7 linked regions of the Coturnix japonica genome follow. The protein of the gene in region 5 interacts with the protein of the main gene of each other region in a biochemical or structural test. Links are inferred from orthologs where the notes say so. Each region holds a gene or a part of one and is shown on either strand. Other genes may lie near its edges.

Region 1 (4,269 bases), on a different chromosome or scaffold from region 5:
GTAAAGGGACAATACATCTTTAAGGAATAAAAAGCCTACACTGCTTCTCTTCATTTCTTTGCTTGCTAGATGGCGAAAGCAAGTCTCCATCGGTCGCCCTCTTCCACTCCCCCCCCCCTTCCCAAAACGTTTATGTGCTACATAAGGTAAAAACTATATACACAGGTAGTACAATGAAGCAAATAAGGAAACACCTAATTGCACAATGCTACATCCGATGCTTTTAGAGGCAGGTCTTTTTTTAAGAGTGTCTAAACTTTTAGTGTTATTGTCTGCTTTTTTTTGTTTGTTTTGCTGAAGTTGTTTTTCAGTGCTTGCACAGGGTCCCCATCCCATGGAGACCGACGATATGTATTCATCTCTACTACGACTTTTTTTTTGTTTGTTTGTTTGTTTATCTTCCTGGCTTCACCGCCCCCCGATGAGCAAGGAAACACGAGTCCTCCGCCCTGCAACGGGAAGAAGACGGGGAGAAGACATTAGAGAGGCTGAAAGCGACGCGCTCCCTTCAACGGGCTCGTACCGCTCCCCGCAGCAGGGAAGGCCCGGCCCGGTCACGGCCCGTGCGTCGTCCCAGCCCCGCGGCACTCTAAGCCCGGCCGCCCCAGGGCCGTCGGCCGCCTCCGCTCGGAGCCCGTGGGGCCGGGCCGCCACCGGGCCGCGGAGCTGCCCCCGCCCCGAAGGAGCGGGCGGTGGTGCGCTATTTGCATAGAGGCGAGGGCTGACGCCTAACCCTAACCCCCCCACCCCCCACAGCAGGAGTAATTTGTTGCAACTTCTGCTTTGCAGCTTAATCTCTTCGGCACAATCGCGAACCGCGTTCGCAAACCTTCCCGCTAAACCCCGGCCCCGAAACCGCCGGCGCGATGTACCACCTCCCTCCGCCCCAGCCCTCGCGCTGAAACAAAACAACAACAAGAACACCACACACGGCTGCCATTAACCCGCTCCCTTCCCTGGAAACTCAGCCAGCGCCTGAAACTAAAACCACAACGACCGGGGAGGAGAAAAATAAAAAAAAAAAGAGAAAAACAACACAAAACCGGAGCACAAGCTCTCCTCTCTCAGCCCAAGAGGCTCCCGCTCAGCCCCGCTTTTATCCAGAGCCCTCCTGGGCCGGAGCTCCCTGCCACGGTGGGACAGTGCGAACGGCGCCGAGGCGGGGCAGCCCCCCAGCACCACGACGCCGCGTGAAGCCCGGTCCCGAGCTCGGGGCGGACACCCCCGAGGCATCCTAATGCCCAGAGCCCGAAGGGAACCTACTCGGGGAGTTTACGTTTGATGTCGTCTCGGGCTCGATTTCTTGGGCGTTTGCTCCACTGAACTGGCACTGGGGGAGTCTTCTGAAACCTCCTCTTCTGTTGTGTTGGCTCTTTTATTTTGAGGAGAGGAATCTAGGAGGGGAAAATTAAAAAACAGGGGGGGGGGAGAAGACCGGTTTAAAACGCTGTCCCGCAAGGTGCTCGCTCGGCACCCGGGGGCGGGAGGAGAGACGGGGCCGGGGCTTATTCCCGCACGTCCCCGCATCCCTACGTCAGCTACCGGGCTACGCGAAGGTGGGCGCGGACGGGCTTTTCTCTGGGCAAAGAGACGCGCGTTTTAGTTTCGCCCCGACTCCGGCGCTCGGAGCGTCCCCTCTTCTCCTCCGCAGAGGGGCTGCCCGAGGGGCGCCACTCGGTCCCGCCGCTCACCCGCGGTCCCCGCCGAGCGCGGAGCTCCGGGCGCTCGCGGGCGGCACCGGGGGCGTTCGGGCGGGAGGAGGCGGGGGCCGGGCCCGGCGCTGCCCGCGGGGTACGTTACCGTCGGCGGCGGGTCTTTTCCTCTGCCCGGCGCACTGCTCTGCAAAGTCCGTCTGACCGCCAGCAACACTGGTCTTCCCGCCTGCACAGTGGGTATCCTCTGAGATTCCCTGAGAAGAGGCGCAAATTGCTGTTTGGCAATTCTTGTTTTCATCCAGGCTCTGACAGACGATGGACTTGCATATGGCTTTGGGTAGCCTCAGTGGTCTGAAGGACAAGTCGGGCGAGCTCCCCTTCTCCACGGCTTGCCACTCGTACCTGCCTTCCAGCGGCTTGTGGTTCTGGAAATCGAAATTCCACTTCCTCTGGCATGCCTCTTCCATTTCCTTGCGGTGCTTCTTCAAGTCCCTGTTTAACTCTTCGTGGTTTATCGGCCCGAAGAGGTTCCTGCAGGCCGACGGCTTCGGGTACTCCGACTGTCGCGCCTCCATGCGCTCCAGGGTAGGGCTCCCATTAGAAATGCGGACGTTTGACATCTCCCCCTCCCTTTCTGCCGTCGCCGATGGCGCTGGGCTTTCTCGCGGCTCTCCCCGCTCTTCCTCTCCGCTCCTTACCCGCGGCCGCTCGCAGGTTCTCCTCCGCGGTCTGTCTCCGTACGGCCCCCTCTCTGCGGCCCCGCCTCGGCCCGCGGAGGAGAGGCGGCGGCGCGCAATTGCATAAGCGCCGGGCCGGCCGAACCCCGACAGCCGCCGCCGCCGGGCAGCCCGGGCGGCTCCGGAGGGGAGCGGCCGAGCGGGGAGCGGCGCTGCCCTCCGCGGCCCCGGGGGCGGCCTCGCGCTGCCGTCGGCACGGCCCCACCGCTGCCCGCACGGCCCCGCCGCTCTCCCCACGGCCACGTCGTACGGGCGGAGAGGGAAAAAAAACAAGGCGAGACGAGCCCTTTTCTCAGTTGCCCAATATGGCGATTGAAGGGAGGTTGACGAAGGAGAAAATGATTGACAGGACGAGTCTATTTAAACAGCGGAGCCGAGCCATTGGTTACGGCGGCCGGCACCGCCCCGTCGGCACGGCCATACCTCGCCGCCGCCGCCGGCTCTAAAGGTGGCCCTGGCCGCCGGCCGCCCCTCGGCGGGCGGGCAGAGCGTGGGGGGCACGGCACGGCTCCGCTCCGCGCACGTGAGCCCGCCTCCCCCTGCGGAACATAAGCCTGGTGAAAGTCACGCGAGTCGAGGGGACTAGCTGCATTTTGACTCGTTGTGGCTATCGCTCTGCTTGCACAGGGTTGGGCGGGCTGGGAGCTGCGCTCCGGCTGAGGCGGGGGAGAGGGTCACTGCCCAGCATCCTCGTAGTGCTGCCCGCAGGAGGAAAGGGAGAAAGCGAGGGGTGGCTTCTGCTGCACTGCCGGCAAGGAGGGCCCAGGTGTGGAAGGAGCTGTAAGAATTCTCAGCAGGGAGCTGTATTCTCAGTAAGCAGGGGAAAGAGAATGAAAACCTTCAAGTTTGTGTGTTTTGAAAGGTTAGTTGAGCCAGGAGTCATGGGCAGGGATTTTTGAGCTGTTTTTCTGATTGCTGCAGCAGGTCCGCTGGAGTTAAGAGCAGTGCAGGGTTCTCCTCTGGGCTCTCCTTGTTCACACTCACTCACACTACAGTCAGCATCTCTTGCTCAGCAGGACAGCCCCACACACTGCAGGATCTTTTCAGACACTGGAGGTTTGGGACTTCCCCAGGGCCCAGGTAACCTGGATACTACAGACCCCACATACCAAAGTGTCTGGCCTGGCACCCTCCACAAAGTCCAGCTGTCCAAAATCTTGTGGCCTTAAAGCTTTGGAGCTTTTGCCCCATCTGTACTCAGACACACACTTTGCTTCAGGCCTTGCAGTTGCAGTGGGCCACCAAAACCTACCCTGTAGTTGGTGCGTTTTGAACTGGAGCCTCACCTGTGCAGGCACTGGAAAGGGAACAAGATCAGCATTTAATGCTTATCCCCAGAGTATGGTTGTCTGTGGGCCTCCTTCCCTAAGGCAGCAGCCCCCTGCCTTGCTCAGCCTTCTGTCCTGGGTCAGCCTCTTGTCAGCACCGAGTTCAAAAAGGGATGTGAGCATCCAAAGAGAAAAATAAAAACACTTAAAAAACACAAGGTTGAAATAAAATGTCAGCCCTGCTATTTTTGTTTGCCAGAACTTTTACCACAAGTTGTTTTCCAGCTCCTTTCAGCAACCACAGGATCTACCCATTCACAGAGACTTGAAGCTGACATCCTGATGTCTGCATCTTTAGGTGTTTGCTGTTGGGATTTCTGGGTTGTTGGGTTCCTTTGCTTTGTTTTTTGAAGTTGCAACTCTGTAGAAGAAAAAAAAAAAGCCTGTGTGAGGTGGCAAAGTGGGACCTACTCATCTGCTTCATTCGAGGGCTTCTCTTTTTATTCTCCAGGCTTTCCTGTCTTTAACTTAGCCACCAGAGTTTTCCACTTCTCATGTGAGGTGTGGGACACTTGGGTTGTTCCCTTTAGCTGTGCACATGAGTGGCTA
Region 2 (3,980 bases), on a different chromosome or scaffold from region 5:
TTGGTTTTTAATAAGTTTTTGTTAGTGTCAAATGGACTTTGGAACTGATAGAATAAAACTCCACTCCTAGGTAGCATCTTACAACAGAGAAAGAGAGCGAGATGCTGTACCACACTTCAGCCAGGAACATGCTTTTGCTGCTGAGTCACAAACCCTGAAAGGAACCATTATATAACAGCCCTCACCTACAGCTGAGTTAGGTGGTGCCTGTTATGTTTCAGTGTGTAGCTGAAACATTTAGGATGGAAACTGGTATCCATCTCCAAGGCTTTGATCAGTATTGATGCTGAAGTGTACACAACTCTTGCTGATCAGAAAGGGCTGCCCACTAGAGGAGACGTGAAATGGGATGGAATCCAAAGGACACTCCAGAAATGCAATCTGGCATTCCATCCCCTCAGAGTTCCTTCTTTGTCAGACCCAGGAGTTAAGAATATGAGTAAGGCAAAACTTTATTAATGAGATAAATCTACTGATAACAGTTCACATACGGTTGGGCTGCTCTCTTGATTACAGAACTGAATAGTCTTTAATTTTTAAAGTAGCTTACAGGCAAGGGCAATAATCTAAGGCCAAATTCCATGATAAATCTTACAGTGTACAGAAGTTGTCTCTGCTTTCAAAGCTGATTAAAAGGAAGTTCCGAGTGATGTAGAACAGAACTGAAAATGCCATCAAAGAACTTGGAGGTGTTCAAGACCAGGTTGGACGGGGCCCTGGGCAACCTGATCTAGTAAAGGTGTATGTTTGGTGGCCCTGCCAGGCAGGGGGTTGGAACTACATGATCCTTGAGGTTCCTTCCAACCCGGGTCATTCTGTGATTCTGTGACTTAAAGCAACGTTGGTTCATAATTTGTAGACAGTTGCAAGCAGTCTTCAAAAGAATGGCATCTATAGCGCATCTCAATGGACGAGCAGTCATCTCAGTCTGGGATGATGAAAAATGACTGTAGATAGGACCAGCAACCAATAGAAGATGGAGAACTGAACTGTCAAAGAGACAACGGACATTCACGTTCAACCGCTGACTACGAAGCCGCCTCGCCCCGTGTCCGCCGCGCCCGTCGGCCTGTGAGCCGGCACCGTCTGAGGGACCCACACGGAGCGGTGAGGAGCCCGAGCGGGGCTCGGCGGGGCCGTGCCGCCCCGGAAGGCGTTCCCGCCGTGCTCCGGAAGCTGTGCGGCTGAGTCCGGCCCAGAGCGAGGCCCTGTCGCCGCCGCTGTCGGGAGGCGCCGCCGTTCCCCGCCGCGGACGCGGGGCCGCCTCTCGCCCGTGGTAGGCGGCCCGGCCCCGGGCTCGGCGGCCGGCGCGGGCTCATGGCGGAGGTGGGTGCGGGCGCCGCTCCCGTCCCCGTCCCGGCCTCGCCTCGCGGGGCGCCCGGCCGGCTCCCCTCGCCCCTGCCCCGCGGCCGGGGCCGCGCTCCTTCCCCGCCGGAGTGTGCGGGGCCGGCGGGGCGACGCGGGCGGGCGGGACTGCGGCCGGGAACCGCGGGCGGGAGGGGACGGACGGAGGGAGCGGGGTCGGAACAAAAGCGGAGGCGGCCGGGCCGGGCTGGCGGTGGGGGCTGCCGGGGGCAGGAGCGGAATGCGGGAGCGGCCGTGCCCGCCCGGCCTGCACGGTGCCACGGGTCGGACATGGCCAGCTGTCAAGCTGGGCCGCTGCTCCCGGCTCTCTGCGATGTGGATGTGGGGGATCACGGAGGTCGGAAGGGGTTTGGGCACCGCTCTGCATCGGTTCTCTGCCCGAGCCGTGGTGAGACAGAGACGCTTTCTTGGCTTCATGGTCTCCGTGTCCTGCTCAGCATCAAAGCACGAGGGGTGGTGATGGTGAGAAGAGGTTAGGATGATGTTGGGCAGTTGGTAAGAGATGACACCGTGCTGTCTCTTAGCTTTTTATTTTACTTATAGTGCTAGTGACAAAGTGACATTTAGCATAATGAGAAAGCACAGCCGTATTGTATCTTGCTTTAACAGTGTTAGTGATAAATCATTCTGTATGATGACTCTCATTCAGTCCATACTGCTGGCTCTGCAGTACTTTTGTATTTAAAAGAACAAAAACCTAATTTCCCTAAGATTCATCTCTGCTTTAGAAGCGGGTCGATATGAAGAAACATTCAGATCCAGTAAATCCAGATTCAGATCTGTTTGTTTGTCTGGATCAGCAGAACTGCCAGCGAGGCTCCCTGGCTGTTTCCCTCAGTTTACAAGTGTGTCTGAGCAGCACAGCCATCCTGCGGGCGGTGTTGGAGCCTGCTTCAAGACAAATGTGCATTGATATCAGTGTGAGTCACCAGTTCAGGTCCAAAAATATTCCCTGCATCACAAATGGAAAGTGATTAAGAACGTTATTTCTTGACTGAGAAGCCCTGGGTTTATTTGCCTACGTATCAAGAATGCTTTGAAAATGCTTGTTGAAACAATGTCCCAGTGGTTGTATTTATATTTGGTTAAGCAGCTTTTTGCTCACTTTCCAGTTCAGTGTCTTGTCTCGAATGCTGGTGGTTGGCTGTAGTCAAAATTAATTGTTCACGATTCCCTTTTCAATCTACCAATGCAGTAATAAATGTAATTGCTTGTAGGTTTGCAAGGTTATTTCTCGCAGTCAGTGTGCACTACTACTTATAATAATTTACTTCTCGAAGATCACCTTGAAAGCAGCGATGTCCATGCTTAGTAGGGGATCTGATCCTGCAGTCAGCACTATTCACTTCTATGAGCCCTGAGTCTCACAGTTTGAGCAGTACAGTTCTTTGAGTGGCGTCTGAAATTCATTCCTCAGCAGAGCGGTTTACAAGGCTGCTGACGTTTGAACTCCAAAAGAAATGTATTAGAATCATCACGCTGAGCTGCTGTGGCAAATTGAAATGTAAAATAGGGCGGTACACAGGTGCACTTTGCAGCATCAGCTGTGGATTAAGACTGGATGTTCTGCTTTCAGCCTGCCCCTGGTTACCCCTTGTGCTGGGAGTGCCAGCTTGTGGAGCTGGGCTGGTGACGGCAAGTGGCTTGTTCTGTAGGGTGCCCAGAGGAGCTGGGGATTCTCCATCCTTGAGGTGTTTGAAGCCAAGTTGGATGGGGCCCTGGGCAGCTGGATCTAGTGGATGGCAACCCTACCCACGTCAGGAGGTTGGATATGGATCGGTCCCTTCCAGCCCAAACCATTCTATGATTCGTTCTGTGTCTTTTGGTTGATGATGCTCTGGGCTGGATCCTTGTGAGGTAGGGACGGGGTGTTTTGTGAAAGTGGTGGTGGGACTCACGTGCTTGAGGGGAAGAGCAGGGCTGCCTGGGCCTTGACCTGTAGCCAGCACTGTGGGACTTCAGCTGGGACTCAACTACTTCGTGTGAATGTGTTGCTGTCATGGACCATCTCCACCACAGGAGGATACAGTTGGTCCTCTTTGCTCTCAAGCTCCTAGGCACAGGCCGGTGCCTGTGCAGCACTGGGTCGAGGTGCACCCAATGGGGTGTGAGGGGAACAGGTTGCTTCTGGCAATGGGGATGAGTTGTGCCAGCCTGGAGTGTGCTTGATCCTGGCTGACTTTGGTGAAGCTGAGCTTGGGTTGAGCACGGAGGGTCTGGATGCATCGTTTGGTTGTGGTTTGTCAGCATGCTTAAAATCTGAGATCCTTTAATCTGTGGCAGTGCGACTATGATTTCAGTGTGCATTTTGAAGGGATTTTAAGTGAGGAGTCTTATAACTGCTGTTCATCTGTCGGATTTTTGAGACAATGAATTTGTTGTGTGTGTGCATTGAGCTTTTAAACATAAAGACTGAGAAAAGAAGATAGTTACCAGTATGTGCAAAGAAACCTGCGTGATGTTCTGCAATAATAAGTAAATTGAATGACGGTAACAACAAAGGATGAAAATGCTGAGGCTGACCTGAGACTTAATGCTGTTGGCTTCAGACAGTTGAAAACTGCTGTCCAGAGGTGTAATTCCATGCAGCATAGGCAGGTGTTTTATCAGTTGAG
Region 3 (3,935 bases), on a different chromosome or scaffold from region 5:
CTTGCTTGGCAGCATCATTTCTGTGCGAGATTTCATGAGGAATATTGAAACGGTTGTTCAATATTCCACAGCCTGTGTCCCAGAGATGAGGAGAAAGAAGAAGGGTGTAAGGGCCAGGACATCACTGCCAGCATCCCCTGCTATAAGGAAAGGGACGGACCCATGGGACCCCCCTGACCTGTCCCAGTGCCCCTCTGTTCATCTCTGGCACGTGTCCCCATCCCTGTCCCAGCTGACTCTGCTCCAGGAAAGTGCTGCACTTCCAGGAAGGGCCGTCCTTGCAGAACAGGACAGAGGTGCGCTTGGCTCAGGGGATCCTAATTAAGCAAGCCCTAAAACAAGCCTCATTATGCCCAATCAGCCTGGCAGAGCAGAAGAAGACTTCTGGAGGCACCCCAGCCCCCCAGGGAACAATCCCCGACCTCTACCCTCCCCTCAGCTCCTCTCCAGGGGATTTCTTCCCCTCATTTCAAGCACAAACAAACAGACTGCACAAAATGCCCCAGCCTACAGTGATGGGATTCATCCAGCCCACTGGTCCCCAATGTGTCCCCAGCTCTGGGCCAAAGGCAGCACCAATGCCACCACCAGTGGCTGAGGGCCAGCAGTTGTTCAGCCACCACCACTCCTGCTCCCTGCCCTTTGCTGCTGCATGCAGGGAGATGCTTGGCCATCCAGCACTCATCCTATTTCAACTTGGCATCTGCTGCTGGAGAGCATCCCCTAATGTTTGATCCTCACAGACACTTCTTGCCCTAATCCCAGGGATGTTGTTCACTCTGTAACACTACTGTTTGGGATACTTTGAGAACCCACCAAACTGGAGCCTGAACGATACCAAGAACTCATTGCCCTGCTGCAGCACCCATGTCCCCCCAAACCTGCAGTGCTGAAGGTGCTCTGCCCACCAGAACTTAGTCCTGCACACCACTACACATTGACCTTTTCCTTTGCACTCCCCATGCACAAATACTTCATGCTACCATTCCAGCACCCACCCCTATTTAGAGCCCCCTCCATCAGCCCCCTGCAGCCTTTTCTGCATGCTCTGAGCCCCTTCTGTGTCTTCCCCAAGTCTTTCTCCCATGTCCATCCCTCAGCACTGCTCTGCGCTGGCTCTGCCCCCAGCCCTGCTCCTTCCAGTCCCACAGGAAGCACTGCTGGTTTCCCCATGCCGCGCTGCAATCTGGTTTGTGTCCAAAGCCTCCAGATCCTTTCCCACAGCACAAACTGCCTGGGCTCTTCTCTCTCAAGATCATGTACAGACATTTAATAGTTCCTCCCAAAGCTCAGTGGGCTGCTGCTCCCAACCTGCTCGCTCCTCCCCGAGGATAAAACCACCCCCCTCTCCATATTGCTCATGGGGAGATGCCCAGAACTGAGACCAGTAGGACCCCCCTGCAAGCACTCAGGACATTTGGTGGCTGTTTCCCAACTGCAGCCCTTAGTGCTGAACCCACTGCTTTCAGCTCTTTGCCTGATGCTTTAGCAGAAGCCCCAGGTGATCCAGGGCAGGGATGGAGCAGAAAATATCCCTTTGCACCCCCAGCTGCACCTCCCTGCTGGCAGATGAGCACAGGAGCAGGATGCCCTGTTTCCACAATGTCTCCAAAAGTCCTTTTGTGACTCACAGCACTGCAGGACGTGCAGACCAGGCTTTGCTTCAGACCTACCACCACCTGATTGCATTGGAGACCCCAAGGACAGCTGAGTGATTGCCCACACTTGTGCAACCACTTGGAGAGGCCCACCCTGAATGGGTGCAAGCACTGAGCACAGCACACAGATGTCCCCTCCGTGCTGGCCTGGCCCACAGGGATGGGGGGGCCACTAAGAGCAATGAGTGGAGAGGGGTGGCACCAGCTGTGTTTGGATGCATTATTGCTGCTCTGCCTGATGCAAGCATGGGGTGAAGCTGAGCAATGCTGCACACAGCAAGGACCTGCATCCCTGTGCCAGCCTCCTGCAAACCCACCCTGGAGTAGTGTGGAGGTCAGCAGGAAGCCCCTGCTGCTCCCTGCGATGCTTTGCACCAAACTCCCCATGGTTCCTAGATGGGGCAGTCAGGCCCTGCAGCCGGCATCCACTGCACCCAGCTCTGCTTGCAGCCCCTGCCTGTGACAGCACAGTGGTAGTTCACTGGGGACAGGCAACAGCCCTCTGACAGCCCAGCACATCACAGGGAAGGACCTGAGGCTCCCCAGGGATAAGCAGAGGTTCCTCAAGCCCTGCCACAGCATCCCTTGGGGGAGTAGAGGGGAAGTTACCCAATATGGCTTTATCCATGGGATGCCACCACCCTCCCAGGGCTGGTGGGCCATTTCAGGGTGCCAACCCCCACGTTATCCCCATCAGCAAAGCCCCTTCAGGGGTCCTACATCCCACCCCGGCTCCCTGCCTTACCTCACGTGGGGTCCCAGCGGGTTAGTGCCGCTCCGCGCGTCCGCAGCCGCCCCGAATTCCTTTCTCTCCTCCTCCGCTCTCTTTATCTGCAGCCTGCGGAGGCTCTTTGCCCTCCCAGCCTTCCCCAGCTGGCAAGGCTTCCCCGCATAGAGGAGAGAGATGAAGGGGAGGGGGGTGGGCTGGGGGGAGGAGAAAAGTAAAACAGAAAGGGGTGTGGAGGCTGTGCCAGCGCTGGGGCAAAGCCAAGCCGTCGTGCTGCGCCCTCAGCGCATCGCAGCCCCCCGACGTCCAGCGGGGCGGTGTGCGGGGTTAAATACCGCAGGAGGAGGGGGAGGAGCGGCGGGGCTGCCCCGCAGCGGAGTCCGCCACTTCCTCCCCTCCGCCCTCTGCGGGACTCCGCTTCGAGCCAAACTTTCGCTTAAAGCCCAACGGAGCGGCGGGATGGGGAGGGATTAAAAGAAAGAAAGAAAGAAATAGAAAACTAAAAAGAGGAAAAGCTCAAGTGGTGCCGACAGAGGGGAGCGGGGCTGCGTTAGGGCCCCGCGAATGGGAAACAAAAGGAGCCCGGAGCTGCCCGGCTCTGCCCTTCGAGCAGAGCTGCTCCTCATCTCCTTGTGCTTGCTTTCAGTTCTGGCCTTTCTCCCTATTTTATTATTCTTTTTTTGTCCTCTTCCCTCTCTCTCTTCCCCCCCCCCCCACCAAATCCCCTCCCGTTTTCTTTTATTCTTTCTTCATTTATTTATTTATTTTATTCCTTTCTCAGGATATGAGGGGATGTTTAGAAAAATCTGCTGCCCACGCCAGCAGCTGACTCATGTTTTTATTAAAGAAGGCCTGTGCTGAACTGACTCCGTGTATTCCCTCTGGACTCCTGCCTGGGCCAGCACTGCCCCCCACCCCCCCCATTCCCCCATCCCGGCCCCACAGCCCTCAGCCAGGCTCTGGGACCACCAACACATGCCCACAATGGTCCTAGGGGAGCATCCTCTGGGAGGCCTCGGAGTGGTGGGTTGGTTGTTTTTGGAAAGGGGAATAAAGGATAATGTGCAATTGGGATACCCTGGTGTGGGATGCTGGGGATGTGGGGATGGTGGTGGCTGGATGGGGTTCATTTGGATGCTTAGGGGCACAGAGCTGTCCTGTACTGCTATGTGCCCCAGGAAGGAGCCCAGTCGCCCTGTCATCTCCCTGCTGTACCTAACAGCACCCACCTCTGCCTTGGCCATCCCCTTGTGCTGAATGCCCATGGTGCGCATGGTAATGTATCTGCTTAGATCCCTCTGCACGCTTTGGTGAGCTCAGATCAGTTTTCTGACAATCTCTTGATGGACACAATTATGGTTTGTCTGCATTGGGATTTGTAGCAATTTGGTTCGCCTTTATGACAAAGTATAGAGACCTTCTGGATGGAAACTGTCTTCTGAACCACCCGCTCTTGTCTTGTTTCTGCCTTGGAGATGTGCTTTATTCTGATACAAGAAAACCATGAAAATGTAGCATCTCTCATGGATGAGTTTTCCTGAGATGATGCC
Region 4 (4,300 bases), on a different chromosome or scaffold from region 5:
GGAGCGCAGCAGGTGGGACGCGGAGCCCCGTGGCTTCAGGCGGCGGCCCCGCGAGTGCAGACAACCTGGAGATTAACAGGAGACATCCCCGGGCCGGGAGGTGGGAGGGGGCGGCCGCAGTCGCCTTATCAGGAAAGTCAAACCCATGTTTCCTTTTAACTCTTCCCCCCTGCCCTCCCCCGGGAGATGCTCAGGAAGCCTTTCCCGGCCGGGCAGTGAGCGGCGCCCCGCAGACGCTTGGAGACAGAACCTCCGGGACAGCCGGGCAGGAGGCAAATTGCCCCCCCTCGCCTTGCCCTGAGCGCTCATTCAGCCGCCAGAGAAGAGAACTGCCCGAACTTGAGCCTCCCGCCCCTGCCCAGGAGGCACTGTCAACCCGAGCCGGGCCATGTTTCCTTATTCCCCCTGACAGACCCTAACGGGACAGGATGTAAACCTCCAGCACCTTTATTTGCAGCCATGCCCGAAAGCTCTGAGAGAAAGCACGACTCTCCCTATGACCCAGCACCCTTCCAGCGCTTGGCCTTCCTGTGTGTGCATGTGGGCGATAACACCGTTCCCCACTTCCAGAAGCCAAAGTCCACTCTCGCACAGCTCAAGTGCCACGACCGCTGCCTACTCCTGGCTGGGATTGGCAGGAGGGCGAGCCGGGGGGGTGGGGGGGAGGCAACTTTCGTCTTCGCACGTCCGAGGAAGTGGCAAACTCAAGGGGCTTCTGCGTGCTGCGTGTGGAAAATCCCCGCATCGCGGAGGGGGCCTCGGGGGAAGAGGTCCCTGCCCGGGACTTACTGTGCTGTGTCCGGAGCCGCGCAGTACCCCCACCCCCACCGCCCCGCAAACACCCCCGTCACCGTCTCTGCTTTCACAGTGCTTTGAAACCCACATTAAGAGCAGAGTGTGCCATCAGACTCTGGATTAGGGCAAAAGCGACTTTACATCAAGGTTGGGCAAGCTGACATACAAGTAACATGCTGAGAACACCAGCAGATAAATATATATATCGGGGAGGGGGGTGGGGGGATGGGGGCCTGTTACACAGTAAACCCCCACAAAAAAAGTCCTTCTTCCCCTCCACACACACACTCTGCAAAGTAGAACCTGGGAGTGAAGTTTCCCCGTCTCATGAATCGAATTAAGTTTCACCGCACGAGAAATACGCACGCACCCGCAGCCGCACAGATGTATTTACACACCAGCCGTGCACTCACTTCCGAATGGCACGGATCTTCCCGACGCCACCACACACGGGCGTCAATCACGGCGCTCCCCCGGGCCGGGGGTACCGGCGGCCTCGCAGCGCCCTCCCTGCGCCTCCCCCGGGGCAGCACCGCCCGTGCCCGGCTCCCCGCAGCCGGGAATACGCGGCCCCCGCCTCCCCGCAGCCCCCCGGGCACGCGTGTACGTTCGCGCAGCCTTCCGCCCCCGCGCAGCCTCGCGCCCCCCGGAGCACCGCGACGAGGCGCAAATAAAGCGCAGCCCGCAAAACCCTCCCCGGAGAGAAAAAGAGCTCCGAAATCCCACCTCCGGCTCTTCTCTGGGAAAGGAAGGAGAGGGGAAAGGGGGAGAGGGAGAACCTGTGCGAGTGGAAAAAGGATCGGCCTCAAACATTTCCACGAGTTTTCTTGGAGCAGCGCTGAGGGAGGAGAGGGGGGGGGATACGAGGGGGAAAAGAGGGGGGGGGGGGGTTGCGGGGGTTACTGAAAAGCTTGTTTTGCAAAGAAGGAAAAGGCTCTCACCGTGATCGCGGCGCTGCACCAAACCCCTCTCTCTGTTGTATTTTCTTCTTCCTGCGGTTTGCAAATAAATCCAGCCCTAAAGCAAAAAAAAAAAAAAAAAAAAAAAAATTCTTTTCCAAACTCTGCTTTCGTCCAACTTGCAAATGAGAATCAGAACGATCGGCTTGCAAAAAAAAAAGTCCGGAGTAAAGTCAGTCCTCCCCTCTGCCCAGCTCGACTGTAAGAACGTGTGTGCGCCTATGTGCTATAGTAATAATCAGAACACCTCTCCGGATCTGGGTGGGTTTTCTGTTCTCCTCCAAAGAACTCACTTCTCACACACTTTCCTTTTTTTCTCCCTCAATGAACAGGAGGCCGAACCGCCAGCACCGAGTCACCTTTCTTTTTTTTTTTTTTCCCCTTTTTTTTTTTTTTTTTTTTCTTGCTGCCGTTGCAAAGGATCGAGAGGAAGGAGAAAGCCACAGAAAACAAAATCAAGTGGATCTAAAATCCGATGGCAAAGCTTTCTTCCAGCGAACTCATCCGAGGAAGCAACAGCAGCAGCAGCCGGGCGGGGGGGGGGGGGGCCGCGCTGCCGAACGCCGCTCGCCGCACGCTCCTCTCCCTCTCTCCCTCGGCTTTCTCGCTCCCTCTGCGAGCGTGTGTGTGTGTGTGTGTGTGTGTGTGAGTGTGTTGCAGGCGGCTCTGCGGTTTGCGAGCGGGGGGGTGGGGGGGGTGTTTGGGGAGCGCAGCGGATTTGTGGTGGTGGTTGTTGTTGTGTGTTTGGAGGAGGTGGAGGAGGAGGAAGGTTTGAGATCTGAGCTGGAGGGGCTCGGCGTTTTTCTGCTCGCTCTCTCTCTCCCTCTCTCTCTTTTTCTTTCCGGAGGAGGTAGGGTGATCTCTCTGCAAAAGCAGCAGTAAATGGCGTCATGTGGATCTGAGGAGGAACAGAGCAGTTGTTGTCCCAGAGGATATATCGCATCCGGTCCCAGCTCATTGGCTCTGCGGGGCTACATTCACTGGCGCTCCCAGCGCCCTGCCAGCACTCCGAGCTGCGGGAGGCATTCAAAAGGGCAGCGCTACCGCCGCTTCCACCACAATCGCGGCCCCGCTCCCGGCCCCGGCCCCGCTCCCGTCGGGCCCCGGCGCCGTGCGGAGCCCCGCGCCCCTCTCCGGGCCCGGCCGCAGCCTGTTCTCGCAGGAGGCAGCTCCGTGCGCGGTCACACGGCGCTCGGGGCTGCTTTTGTGCTCGCGTGTTTATCCAGGGGCCAGCAGCGATCGGGCTACAGGGCGGTCGAGGGGAGCTGCTTTCCCTGGGGGGAGCGGGAGACCCATTCCCAGGTGCTTCCCCTCCCCCAGCCATGTTTTCTTTTTTTTTCCCTTTCTTTTTATTTTCTTTCTTTCTGTTTTTTTTTTTGTTTTTTTTTTTTTTAATCCCCCTCTATGGAATAAAAAGTTTAAACTCTCTGCTCCCTACCCCCCCAGCCGGCAGCAGGAAGGGCCGCTTATTGCCCGCGGCATTGTGCCGCGGATTAACGCGAGGAGGCGGCACGGCGGCGCGGAGCGGGGCCCGCGGGGCAGCGCGGGGCGGGCGGCGGCAGGGGCACAGCGGGGTCTCCAAGAGCCCCCCGGGGGGTGTTTCTCAGCGTCGTTCATTTGTAATTTCGCTCGCTTTTATGAAACTTCCATTGTAATGGATTCCCACTCGTGTACGGGACGCGGCCCACGGGCAGCTGATAGAAATGGCTGTTTGTGAGAGAGGTTCCCTTGATATGGGAGCAGCCGGTCATCTCTGCACGGGCTGCAGTGCCGTCAGGCCTGGGCACCCCGCGCCGCCAGCGGGTCTTTAAAGCGCGCACAGCGGCGTATCCACGTCGGCATGCACAGAGCGCTCGTACACCCCTATCACGTGTGGCCCTGCTTAAAATATACCCGGCGTGCCGAGCAGCGATGTGGCGCGTTATTTACATGAGCAAATTCTCGGGGCGAAAGCCCTGAGAGCTCTTCTTAATGCTGGGAGGCAGTTGGCAGCGCTTCCTCTTCTCCACCTGCTGTCATCGCTGCTTGAGAGAGGGGTCACTGTTAATAAAAATGGGGTGGGAGGATGAGGAGGGGGCGGAGAAGGCTATGTAGTACTATGTACTAACATTATGAAGCTGAGAGTTATTTCTCATAGTTTCTCTATGGGACGACCACAGCTCTGCGTTCATCCCTTCATGCGGCCCTAGTAGATCCACGGGGTCACCAGTGATGAGTGGGATTTGCTGAGTATGAACCTGGGCATCCTCAGAACTGTGTGCTACGTTCAGGCTGCGCCGGGAAATCCATGGGATTCATCCGGGAGGGATGAGCGCGGGTTAGCATAGGAACGGGAGAAGAATGATGTTGATTTCACTTCACTGTGAAGCTTAGTAAAGGCAAAAATAGGTAATGGACAACATGTAGAAGCTTATGGACGAGGGAAAGCCTGCTTGATTTTTTTTCAGGATATAAACCAAGCACAGAAATAGTGTATAAATTAGAAAATCCACCATACTGTGTTTTACAGAGAAATCAGAAGTTTAAATGCCAGTTCTAAAGTACAG
Region 5 (3,500 bases):
GGCTGTTTTTAGTCAGTGTACCTGCCTTGTCTGTTGCACTGCACCGCTTGGCAGAAAAGCAATGAAAAATAAAGCAACAAAACTTCTAGAGAGAGTATGATTTGAAATAATGATTTGTGTATTAATGCATGGAGTTTATTATAAATTATTGATCCACCTTGTTTTGAAGGCTGATAAAATGTGATGGATTGGGATGGCTGACTATGTGTTTTTAAGGGCTCGTCTTATATGAACAATCTTTGAGACACAAGTGGAAAGAATAAGCTTGTGTCTTCGTCTGTTTTGCTGGAACTTGAAATGTAGTAAGCTTATTTTTTTGTTTCCTTCAGGTTTTGAATGAAGAATGTGATCAGAATTGGTACAAGGCAGAACTCAATGGAAAAGATGGCTTCATTCCCAAGAACTACATAGAAATGAAACCACATCCGTAAGTAGAGCCTTGGTGGTAGTGCCTGTGTTTGGTTGGTTTTAAGCATAGATAAATTGACCTTTTCTGAAGACATTTAAACTGCTGATGGCATCTGGATCATGTGTCAGCAGTGCTGGAAGTCTTCATTAGTGCATTAGCAACCTGAGGAAATTACAAAAAGTTTGTATACTATCGTGTTTACTGAGCAATAATGAAGAGCTCTCTAAGTAGTCCAGCAGGGCATACAAAAACAAACTTCAGCCAGCTGACCAGGTGTAAGAAAGAGAGCATTCCTTTTCTTAGAGCTGGTGTCAGTGTTGTTGGAAGGAGGTGTAAGTATTTTTTCAAGAGAATTTAGAAGGAAAGTAATTGAAAATGCCTTTATATGTTAAGGATTTCACTCTTACTGCATTTCTGCTTCCCTAAATTAGATGAAATAGGGCTATTGTGAGCATGTGCTCATGAAATCATGGTAGCTTCACTGCTAGGACAAAATGTGAGAAGTTGCATAGTTTGGTAGCCTGTAGTAGATTAACAATAAATAGATGCAGTTCAGTCATTTCTGCTAGAATTCATCTGATCTCCGTGGGGATACCTGTGTTGGGCTCTTCCATAAGACAGTTCAACTCCTTAACTTTCTCTGTTTTCTTCTTGCTTACTCCACAGGTGGTTCTTCGGAAAGATTCCCCGAGCGAAGGCTGAAGAGATGTTAGGCAAACAGAGACACGATGGTGCCTTCCTTATCAGGGAGAGCGAGAGTGCTCCTGGGGACTTCTCTCTCTCGGTCAAGTAAGTAGTGCCCAGAAATAATCGTGTGGAAATCAGGGCACTTGATGCTCATTTTGACTCCTGGATAGATAAGTGATTATCAGTGCTGAGGAGCGGCAATAATCAAGATAGCATACCTATTCTTCTGGTGATAATGTATTTTTGTCTTTATTAAAGAGGAAGTACAGATAAGCTCTGTTTTGTAATGAGCCTACATGGCTGACTTGGTGGTGTGTTGCTGTCTGACTTAAGTGTTTTCAGGCACTATTTGTTAATTTGTGGATCCCATTTCTCCTTCCTCCAACTATGAACTGCCCAGTTTGTACATACTGCTTTCCATCCTCCTTTGTTCCTCTTCCATAGAACAAGTCATTATTCTCTTCTGTCTTTGGATAATACACTTCCAAATATTTTTCATGACTGCTTGGCACATGCTTTGGGGATATTCATCTTAGCCAGCACTGGGACATGGAGCTAATGAAAACAAATTCTTTTCCATTTCTCAAATGCATTCCATTAATGGAATTTCAATATAGAGGAATTTCTTTCTGTCTAGTAACATTGAAGGTAGGCAGGAACAGTTCCCATCCTTGTATAACATTTCTAGAAATGCTAACTTTTAATCAGCAGCAATTTCTGATAGTTAACATGTGAGCCATGTTTAACCATCTCACAGCTCTGTATAAGCCGCCATAAATTGAAGTATTAAAAAGTTGGAAGAGTATGGGATGTAAGGTAGCATAGGAAGGAAGGAATTCCATCCTCAGCAGCTGATTTTTATCTTTCTTAACTTTCTGTAACCTTCCCCTTTCCTTCCAGAAATGAACAGGGTTTTCTTTAGTATCTTATATTGATTATTCACGCACAGTTCCTTGTTTGCTGTATTTTTGGCTCATCTTTGGGCTGTACCCAGATTTTGTCATCCTGTACACCAGTCTTGATCCAGCCAACAAACTGAATTAAAACCACTCTTTTTAGAAAGGTGTTTATAGTTCTGCTGGGTACAATAATCTGAGCTGGAATACAAGATACGAATGGGAGCTCCATTGCAGACATCAACTTCCTTCATGAAACTTGGTTTTGACTGTAGCTCTGCTTATCTTGTCAGCTTAGTGTTGCCACCTGGTGGTAGTTTGGTTTTTTTTTTTCCTGGTGGATTAATTTAGAAAAAGCTTTCTTCCACTCACCCCCAAACAGTGATTTGCAAGATTTGAAATGATGAGAATCTCTCAGGTTGAAGAGGAAACAGCAAAGGCAGTACTCACTGATTGTTTCATGTTAACGTTGTAGCCAAGACTATGCCTGCACTTTAAGCTCTTGATGCCAGGTGGAGAATGTACTCCTCACCCATTTTCAGTGTTTTTGTTTCAGAATAAAGTAAAAATGCTAACGTGCTGTTCATCTGGAAAAACTTTGGAGTTGCACTTTACGTAGAATAAAAGTTGAATGCCATCACATGTCAAAATATAGAAGTGGAAAAGTCTGTCTGTTTTGCAATACATCATTTTTTTTTTGTAACTCCATGCTTAGAGACAGTCCTGCCGTACTTGTGGCAGTTCTTTTCCCAGCACTTTTTGTATGTTTTCAAGGGTCTGCTTCACAGCAGCCAATTGATACCTGCAATCATTGTCACCAGCTATGTCCCGAATGATTTTTGTGTTGTAAAGTCTCACAATCCTAGAAGAGTGCTCAGTGACTGTGTTCTTCTCTGTATTGTTTGCTCATTTCCCACAGGTTTGGAAATGATGTGCAGCACTTCAAGGTGCTTAGAGATGGGGCTGGCAAGTATTTCCTCTGGGTGGTGAAGTTCAATTCTTTGAACGAGCTGGTAGATTATCACAGATCCACATCTGTCTCCAGGAACCAGCAAATATTTCTACGAGATATTGAACAGGTGCCACAGGTAAGAGAACTGTTTGTTCAGAGCATATTTAAACTAATGCAACCATGGGTTGCATCTGGGATTGTATCTTGATGGTGATGGAGAAAAGCTGACTTTTTACCTGTAGGAGTTTATTTTTGGATCTTGCTGCCAGAGTTGTACTGGAAAATAATCTGGATGTTTGTGCACAGCCTACCTGCTAAAACTTAGTATCCATTTCTGGTGGTGTTACTGTTGCTGCCTGAACATTTGGCTTGTGTTAATGTTTTTGGGTACTGTTGAAATAAGATAATCCAATTCCTGTGAATTAAGAAGGTGTTTACTCCTGTTTTAGGACACAGTAAGAAAGCACAGTTATGTACTGGTTCATAGCCAGAACTGTCCCGTCCCGTCCATCCCCCCCCCCCCCAAAAGCAGTGAAATTTTGGTAGTAGTCTTGCC
Region 6 (4,300 bases), on a different chromosome or scaffold from region 5:
AGAGCCAGTACAGCGCCCAATATTCCCCATTCTGAACAGACCTGGAAATCTAAATGACAATCAGTTCTTTCTTATTTTGCAATCTACAGCACAAATTCTGCACCCTTCACGTGGAAAACTAACGTCGAGAAAATGTCATAGATGCTTCAGTGAAAACCAACAGTATCAAGTTAGTGCAGGTTGCAGTGTCTGCTTTGCATGGGATTCCTAGCTGAACGCTGAATAATTCACAGATCTCTTTAATGTTATTAACACATCAGACTTAATATCATTAGCCAACATACTAACATCAACCTACCAGGTTTATGTAAACACAAGAAGCAATTTAACCTGTATTTGAGGTTTGTGTTTTTAAGATAGTATCTCATTCTACCAACGTGTGTAAGGAGTTAGAAATCAAAATTATTGAAGACTTCTACATATAGAATTACCATTAAAATTTGGTACTGAATTCACTACGTCAAGTGAAAACCTGTATCCCCCCTCTTTCAGTTTAAAACCATTCCCCCTTAGCCTATCACTATCCACCCCAGTAAAAAGTCGTCCTCCATCCTGTTTCTAAGCTCCCCTCAAGTGCTGGAAGGCTGCAATGAAATTTCTCCTGAACCTTCTTTTCGTAGCTTTCGGCTCCTGCTTTTTGTTGTGACATCTCCAGAGTGAATGCATTTCAATCCTCCTGGTACTCCCATTCTTTCAGAACCGGGTGATTATTGCAGCTGAACACAGCTTCCTCTTGGACAAAAAAAAAAGAAGCTTGGAAAATGTTATGCCTTCAAAGTCATGTGGCATCCACACAGACCTCCTTACAGCCACCCCTGCAGTCAGATTCACCTCCCTGTTGTGTTCCTAATGCCTCCTCTAAAAGTCAGCTGTATCTCTAGATCAATGATATAGCCCAGAAACAAGAGGAAGCGATTCTGATAGTAAACCGTGTGATGTTTCATTCAGAACATTGGTGAACACATCTGGATTTTAGCAATCATGATCCTACCACCTACACAGTAGAAGTACATGGTATAATTAACCCGGAGAAAGACTCTTTAGAAAGAAGAGACTGTGCCAGTAAGAAACATTATTCCACTTAACTCCATTCTTCAGGCAAAGATTGGTATTTGTTGGAAAACTGCATTGATCATGTCACTGCCAAGACATCACAAGCATGGATTACAGCGAGGTACGCTGTTCTAGATGTATATGATCTGCCACCATGTCACTTAAAACAGCTGATACTGAAAAGAAGGATGCAGTAGAAACTGAGTTATGTGATGCAGAAGCACATACTTACTAACCGTAAAATACAAGCAAGAAACCTTAAAATACAAGCTTCTCATGCCTGTCTACAACTGGAAGCAAATCACTTCATCTTGTTACTTTTAATTTGAATATCAGTCCTCAGTCAAACCTCACTCTGTGACAGTCTGAGCAGAGACTGCGTCACATCATTCAGAGAAAGCAGGAAAAAATATACCAAATGCTGCACTGGAAACATGCCACAGCCCTCGTTCCTTATTAACCTCACAGCTCCTTATGGATTCCACCTCAGTAATTAAACTGCACCCCTGGAAGTTGACCACCTCCATTACAGCGCTGCTACTCAACATCATTTCCTGAGCGCTCAGCCTGCAACAGACCAAAATACCAAGAGAAGTTTAACAAAAACACATCATCATACGAGCACATGACTTCCAACCAATACAGAGTTAGCGAGCACTGAGGCTCTGCAGGAAATGAAATCCTCTGCCAAAAAAAATGACTTCTCTGAAAAAGATAATCAAGATTTCATAAGAAAAATGTCTATTTTCCCACTGCCAACCAACAGGAGATGCCCATCCTGCAAGCTGGTGCTTTCACAGCTCACATGCTGCTGTTGTGAAGCTGGAGCTCGTTTATTTCACTTTCATAAAAACTCATTTTTTGCCCTTTTTCTAATGTCCGCTGTCTGATGTGACTGAGCACATCACAGTATCACACACAGCTGCAGCTCCCCTCACACCTCCGGGATAAACACACAGAGCTCTTTGGAGGCAGAAGACCTGCTCACAGCTGTGTGTGTTAACCTGGATCCACCTTGCCAGCATCCTCAGAATCATCCGTGTTTGCAATAACAACACCAGAACTTGGCTCGTTACAAAGTAATAACAAATGCCACAATATAACTGCACGAGCGTCACCAGCCAGCTGCTCCTCGGATCCGCTCTATCGCTACGGACCGAGCTCAATGACAGCCGGGACCCGCTGCTCACAATGGGACCGGCAGCTCCAAAGGCCGAGAGCGGCCGCGACGCGGAGGGACGATGCCGGCAGCCGGCGGGGAGAGCGGCGGGGCCTGGGCTGCACCGAGCCACCCTGAGCGCCGCGAGGAAAGGGAAGGAGGGAACGGCGAGTGATCCAGCACGGACAGGAGGAACGGAAAGTCGCGACATGGGCGATGGCAGCGGAACGAAACGGAACGAAACGGAACGAAACGGAACGAAGGCAGCGGAACACAACGGAACGCAGCGGAACGCAGCGCCGCCCGCCTGGAGCTCCGGCCGGGGCAGGCGCTGGGGGAGCGGAGCCGGCGGCAGCGGAGAACGGCCGCGAGCAGAGCGCTCCTCATCGCCGGGTCAGAGCGGGGCCGGGCGGCCGCCCCTCACCTGGTAGATGGCGGCCCAGCTGGCGGCCTGGTCGAGCCGGTGGAACTCCTTCTCCATCTCCATGGCCGGAACAACGCGCCCGGCCTGGCCCCGCTGCTCCGGCTCCAGCTGCTGCTGCCTCGGCCCGGGCTGCCCGCTCCGCATCTCACCCCGCCCTGCTGGGCCGGAACTACGCAGCCCGACACCAGACGCGACGTCCGGGGCGGCCGCAGCCGCGGGGTTGGAGGGGGAGCGAGATGTGTTGGTTTGGAGCCGGGAAATGAGTTACTGAGCTTAGGAACGTTAAAGCTTTAGTTTGCATTTCTGATAAAATTCAGCATTGTGAGATTACCTGCGTTAAATCAGCCAACATCATGAATAGCAATCCAGCTGCCTGCAAATACGATCCATGCTGCTGCTGTGCTGTCTGAGTGCAGCTCTGTAGTCACTAAGCCAGCTGTAGCAGGCGGCATCTCCAGCGTCCAACTGCTGTTAACTTGCTATTAACAGTCACCACACCTAATGCTACTGACTGTACGTATCTGTGCCATTAGTCTACGTTAACATCCCCTTTCTTGAGCAGAACTGTAACATTTTGTTATACAGAGCTGATCTTCCAGCGTGTCCTTTTGCTGTTACACCTCAGGCATTCCTAGTTCTGATTCTCTGTTTGGTTTTGGTTCAGCATTTGGGGTTGTTCATATGGAAGGTTCATTTGTCTTCATTTTGGTTTTTGCTAACAGTGCATCATGTAAGACTCAACAATTCAACTATTAGCCCTGGGTTACACTGAAGAATCTGTTGGGGAGCACTTCTGGCCTCTTTTTGGTGAGGATAGCTCTCCAAAACACGTTCGAGGTGATGGCATTGCTTCATTGCTGAGTAAGCCCTCCTGTGGTTTCTAATCCAGGTGAAGCAGGCGGTCCACTTGGCCTCACCTCCTCGTGAGAACAGACAATACCCTGCAGGCTGTGCTGAAGAGGAAACAAACAGAGGACCCTCAGAGTACAGGGGTGTAAGAAAGCAAGTGGCAGTTTGTCAGTGTACGGCAGCACATTTCATCCAACACACAAATACCAATCTCTGCTCCAGGGCACTTCAGGGCTATGACTGTGGGAAATGGCATCAATCCCTGGCTGCTGCAGGATCACAGCATTTTCACTGCAGTGATGCATCTCATGCAGGGCCATGCAAACCCAAGCCCTTGATGGAAGGAGTGCTGTGCAACAGCAAGACACGTGGGTTTAGTAGCCTATGGATATAACATGTGGCACAGGGAGAATCTATATCCTCAGAGAGACAGAGAAAGGGACTGGCATGGAAGTGGTGTGGATTGCCATGTGCTGGGTTGCCCAATCAGCTAGAGAACAGCTGCAGCCACAAGAGGCTGGTTTCACTGTGCAGCTGTGGCCCTGTAGAGATCAAGGCCACAACGTGAGTGGTTTCACATGGTGAAAAGGGATCAGGAGCAAAAGAAGCTGCAGACTGGAAACTGAACGTTGGTGGTAGTAGTGAAAAGGAGGTGCAAATGGAAAAATAGATATATGTTTCTGATGGTATAAAAAATCTAAACATTTTACTAAGAGCACAGATTTCCTGATGTGTGGTTATGTTCTCATACAGCTCATCAGGTGACATATTTTCCATGTTAATAGTTTGGATGTCACCATCTGCTTGCTATGACT
Region 7 (3,500 bases), on a different chromosome or scaffold from region 5:
GCTGCAGGATGCCCTGCAGGTCAGAGAGGCGGTGCTGGTGCTGCAGATACGGCGTGGAGCGGATGATGGCGTGCATCAGAGACAGATACTCCATCCTCAGCTGCCAAGTGGGAGGGGAGAAGAAACAGGGCACAGTGAAAAATTCAAAATGAGATAAACAAGCGTGCCAGCCTCCATTACAGCATGAGCACAAGGAGCAGCTGCTGCTGTATGACCAGCCAGACAGAGCTCCAGAGGCACTGCTTTTCTGGAGGACTCACCATTAGCTATGGAGAACTGTGCTTTTCCCACAGCACCTCAATAACGCTCATGATCCACTCTCAAACATAAGCACATTCTCTGCCTCTAGCGCTAATAAAACACAGGAGATCCCTCCTTCTGCTACTCACAGAGGGGCCCTTTTCCCAAAGGTCCCTGAACAGAAGGGCAGAGACCACCAGAGCCTGGCAGACCTTTCAAACACACTTTCCTGCTGCCACATGCAGGCAGGACAAATCCTCCCTTCCTTCTCAGCCCCTTAGACAGATTTCAGCACTCTGAAATGTTCTGCCTGCCCCAGGACTCCAGCTCTGTCTGCACCATCAAGCCCAACAGGTGAGGAGAAATACCATTGCTTTGGGACCACGCTCCCCTACTCAGTGCCCGTGGCTTTGTGTGAGCACCTTGTCTCCGGGGGAGAGATCAGCGATCTGCCGCACCAGGATGTCTATCAGGACCATCATGTCTGTGTGGTAGAAGATGCTGGCTGTGTCCTTGCTGGCAAAGATGTCCTGCAGGAACTTCAGCACTGAGTGGGGTGGCTGAGGCTGATGCTTGAAGATACAAACTGGATCATCTGGGGGTGGCAGAGAGATCGCGTTAAGCCACACACTCCTTGCTGCCCACCTCCTGCACCTCCAGTGCCAACCCCTGCATTGTTCCCCACAGGTTTTGGGGAGGGGGCTGCCCCCACCTCAGCCAGTCGCTCCCTGCCCACGGCCAGCTTTCATGCCAGCAGTCCTTAGTGCCTTGCACAAAGCTGTGTAATCAGGATGGCAGCTCTGCAGGGCACCAAGCTGAGACCAAACTCATTAGCATTAGCATTAATCATTGTTTATGTTTCACCTATTATCCCAGGTGAAAGCTCATTAGCACATTACCTCCCAGTGCCTCCCCTCCTTGCTCAACAGCCACCACTCATTTTCTCCCTGGTTTATTAAGTCTGGTCCAATGACCCCTCTGAAAAGCCCACCAGAGCCTGCATCAGAAATAAGCTTTCACCATGGAGACCAGGCTAGGACTGTTCTGGAAGCAATAAAAGAAACACCTCCAAGTTTAATTTACCCACTGTACCCTGTTTTCTACCAAAACATGGCCCTGCAGACCACAGAAGGGGCTATGGGTACTACAGGAGAAGGGCACAAGAGAAGCATCTTTCTTTGGTTCTGGTTTTCCTGCTCCTCAAAGTAAGGAAATCCTTTTAGAGAATCTCATATGGAGGAGTCTAAACAAAGGCTTTTGGACAGGGCCAGACAGAGAAGCACTGAAATGCAGGCTGCCCTCAAACTGGTATAGCGTGGAAACTGATTTGCGACCCCAAAGGCATCTGAAGCCTGAGTAAGACGAGCTGCGAGCTTCACAGGGTGAGTTACTTACCAGCAAATCAACACAACAAATCTCAAGCTGCAAAGCCCCTGTGCTCCAGAAGGTATTAGAAAGCACAATAGCGGCATGCAGCGCAGGCAGAAATACCTGGCACTGCTCTGCCTGTAGTGATCTCCAGCTTTCTAACAATCTGCTGTGCATGCAGTGGATTTCACTCCATGCCTGGAGCAGGCAGAAAACTAAACCCTCTGCTGGCCAGGCTGAAATGGGAAGCTCCATTCTGAGCAGCACGTCAGCCCCAGCCAACAGCTTCAATGCCACCTGCACCCCCAGCTCTTACCAAGCACCATTCCTGGGAGCTGCATCCCCTGCCAGGCAGGTGACAGTGCCGCACTCACCTCCCCTGTTCAGCAGCAGCAACAGCTTCTCCGTGAAAGTCTTGACATTGGAGTGCTTGCTTATTGTCGTCATGATCACGCTGTGCTCTGGAACTAGGGAAGAAACCTGCTCAGCACATCCCTTTGTTTGCTGAAGACAACAGTAACAAAACAAAAAAGGAAAGCAGCACAGGGCTCCCACTGTGGGGAATTGCAGGGAACCAACCCACCAGGGCTACAAAAGGTTCCAGGGTTCCACCCCTGGGGGCACTCAAGGCCAGGCTGGATGTGGTTGGTAACCCTGTCTGTGGCAGGTGTTGGAACTGGGAGATCTTCAAGGCCCACTCCAACCTAAGCCTCTCTATGAGTCTATGAACATAACATGTTTTAGCAGAGTTTCTGAATCGACTTTGCACATCTGCAATGCAGGACAAATGAATCTCACAGGCAGAGAGATAACACATTAATCCACTGATAAGCAACCTGAGCATCATTTAACAGGTTCTTAGCATCAGAGAACAAATCACTGCAGGCAATGATCCCCCAGAAACACGCTGCTGGTCACACATTATTGCCCAATTACTGCATCCAGGATCTCTAGGGGTAACTATGCAAAAGTGTAATGAACGAAAGCAGCGGAGACTGTACTAAATCAGCCTCTGTGCAATCAACTTTCACATGAAATTAGAAACTTTCACACAAATTTTAATGGTGTACAACTTATAACAAGCAAATTACTAGCCATGTCCTGCTGTTTTATCCTCCCCTTTCTCCACAAAGCCACGGATAAGGTCCTGAAGCAGAACAGCAGTAAATAATTAAATACAATTGGAGCAACAGGAGACCTTGCAAGCTCATTCTGGGTTAACAAGTGTCAGGACCTGGCACTATTTCCCAGTTTCCCAACAACAAGCTTTGAAGCTCCCAGTCAGCCCCACAGGGAATGGGCAGATGCCCTTCTCTGGGGATCACAGGCTTTGTCTATTAAGTAGCTCAGCAGAGGAGGGAGGATTGACAGTGAGGGAAAGGAGGAGAGTGTGCAGCTCAGGCTAAGGGTAATAATCTCAGCTCCAGCATGTAAGCAGTGAGTAAGGTTCAAGAAGTGCAGCTGGATAAGCAGGTTTGTGAAGACCTTCGTAAAGCAAAAAGCTTTCTTTCTGGACAGATACCAAGAAATGCCCATTGAAGCATGCTCCCTTCCAAATCAGCTGTGCCTACAAGTTGGCCATACACATGTCCTGCAGTCCAGCAGTTGCTTCCATCCAGCCAGCTTGAATGTATAGACAGAAATCCACTGGACTTCATGGCTGCTGAAGGGTCAGCTGGTTGGACATGGGCTCTCAGGCTGATTTTCCCTCTAGAGTTTTGTAGAGTATTTGAGCAGATACAAGTAGAAACACAGTGTGCTGCCAGAGGCTGAGAGAGCTGCACAGGTTATCGCAACACCATCAAGTGCCAGTGAGATTCTACATCCCTGCTCTTCATCCCCTCAGTGCTCCAGACCACCTGATATCCTGACAAGGCAGAACAGCACCAAAC

What was found.
Region 1: the proteins of GRB2 (region 5) and CDKN1B form a complex in vitro, tested with the Homo sapiens proteins (2 studies listed by BioGRID and IntAct, with this or other methods). The link is inferred for Coturnix japonica from reciprocal best matches to the Homo sapiens genes GRB2 and CDKN1B.
Region 2: the proteins of GRB2 (region 5) and FRS2 form a complex in vitro, tested with the Homo sapiens proteins (2 studies listed by BioGRID, with this or other methods). The link is inferred for Coturnix japonica from reciprocal best matches to the Homo sapiens genes GRB2 and FRS2.
Region 3: the proteins of GRB2 (region 5) and PDGFRB form a complex in vitro, tested with the Homo sapiens proteins (2 studies listed by BioGRID). The link is inferred for Coturnix japonica from reciprocal best matches to the Homo sapiens genes GRB2 and PDGFRB.
Region 4: the proteins of GRB2 (region 5) and SPRY2 form a complex in vitro, tested with the Homo sapiens proteins (2 studies listed by BioGRID and IntAct, with this or other methods). The link is inferred for Coturnix japonica from reciprocal best matches to the Homo sapiens genes GRB2 and SPRY2.
Region 6: the proteins of GRB2 (region 5) and PTPN1 form a complex in vitro, tested with the Homo sapiens proteins (2 studies listed by BioGRID). The link is inferred for Coturnix japonica from reciprocal best matches to the Homo sapiens genes GRB2 and PTPN1.
Region 7: the proteins of GRB2 (region 5) and NCKIPSD form a complex in vitro, tested with the Homo sapiens proteins (2 studies listed by BioGRID). The link is inferred for Coturnix japonica from reciprocal best matches to the Homo sapiens genes GRB2 and NCKIPSD.

What each region holds. Positions count from the first base shown.
Region 1 is NC_029516.1:66,307,391-66,311,659, reverse strand, and holds the start of CDKN1B (cyclin-dependent kinase inhibitor 1B), read right to left. Parts: upstream 2,801-4,269; 5' UTR 2,276-2,800; coding exon 1,801-2,275; intron 1,395-1,800; coding exon 1,273-1,394; 3' UTR 1,264-1,272; intron 450-1,263; 3' UTR 1-449. UniProt on the Homo sapiens protein: Important regulator of cell cycle progression. Inhibits the kinase activity of CDK2 bound to cyclin A, but has little inhibitory activity on CDK2 bound to SPDYA. Involved in G1 arrest. Potent inhibitor of cyclin E- and cyclin A-CDK2 complexes.
Region 2 is NC_029516.1:32,158,793-32,162,772, forward strand, and holds the start of FRS2 (fibroblast growth factor receptor substrate 2), read left to right. Parts: upstream 1-1,180; 5' UTR 1,181-1,326; intron 1,327-3,980. UniProt on the Homo sapiens protein: Adapter protein that links activated FGR and NGF receptors to downstream signaling pathways.
Region 3 is NC_029528.1:4,822,763-4,826,697, forward strand, and holds the start of PDGFRB (platelet-derived growth factor receptor beta), read right to left. Parts: upstream 2,801-3,935; 5' UTR 2,404-2,800; intron 1-2,403. UniProt on the Homo sapiens protein: Tyrosine-protein kinase that acts as a cell-surface receptor for homodimeric PDGFB and PDGFD and for heterodimers formed by PDGFA and PDGFB, and plays an essential role in the regulation of embryonic development, cell proliferation, survival, differentiation, chemotaxis and migration.
Region 4 is NC_029516.1:136,861,073-136,865,372, reverse strand, and holds the start of SPRY2 (protein sprouty homolog 2), read right to left. Parts: upstream 2,801-4,300; 5' UTR 2,048-2,800; intron 1,813-2,047; 5' UTR 1,737-1,812; intron 1,618-1,736; exon of another isoform or gene 1,522-1,617; intron 433-1,521; exon of another isoform or gene 1-432.
Region 5 is NC_029533.1:9,398,553-9,402,052, reverse strand, and holds part of GRB2 (growth factor receptor-bound protein 2), read left to right. Parts: intron 1-329; coding exon 330-427; intron 428-1,075; coding exon 1,076-1,198; intron 1,199-2,911; coding exon 2,912-3,080; intron 3,081-3,500. UniProt on the Homo sapiens protein: Non-enzymatic adapter protein that plays a pivotal role in precisely regulated signaling cascades from cell surface receptors to cellular responses, including signaling transduction and gene expression.
Region 6 is NC_029535.1:12,162,838-12,167,137, forward strand, and holds the start of PTPN1 (tyrosine-protein phosphatase non-receptor type 1), read right to left. Parts: upstream 2,801-4,300; 5' UTR 2,781-2,800; coding exon 2,637-2,780; exon of another isoform or gene 1-2,636. UniProt on the Homo sapiens protein: Tyrosine-protein phosphatase which acts as a regulator of endoplasmic reticulum unfolded protein response. Mediates dephosphorylation of EIF2AK3/PERK; inactivating the protein kinase activity of EIF2AK3/PERK.
Region 7 is NC_029527.1:6,683,894-6,687,393, reverse strand, and holds part of NCKIPSD (NCK-interacting protein with SH3 domain), read right to left. Parts: intron 2,076-3,500; coding exon 1,983-2,075; intron 836-1,982; coding exon 663-835; intron 101-662; coding exon 1-100. UniProt on the Homo sapiens protein: Has an important role in stress fiber formation induced by active diaphanous protein homolog 1 (DRF1). Induces microspike formation, in vivo. In vitro, stimulates N-WASP-induced ARP2/3 complex activation in the absence of CDC42.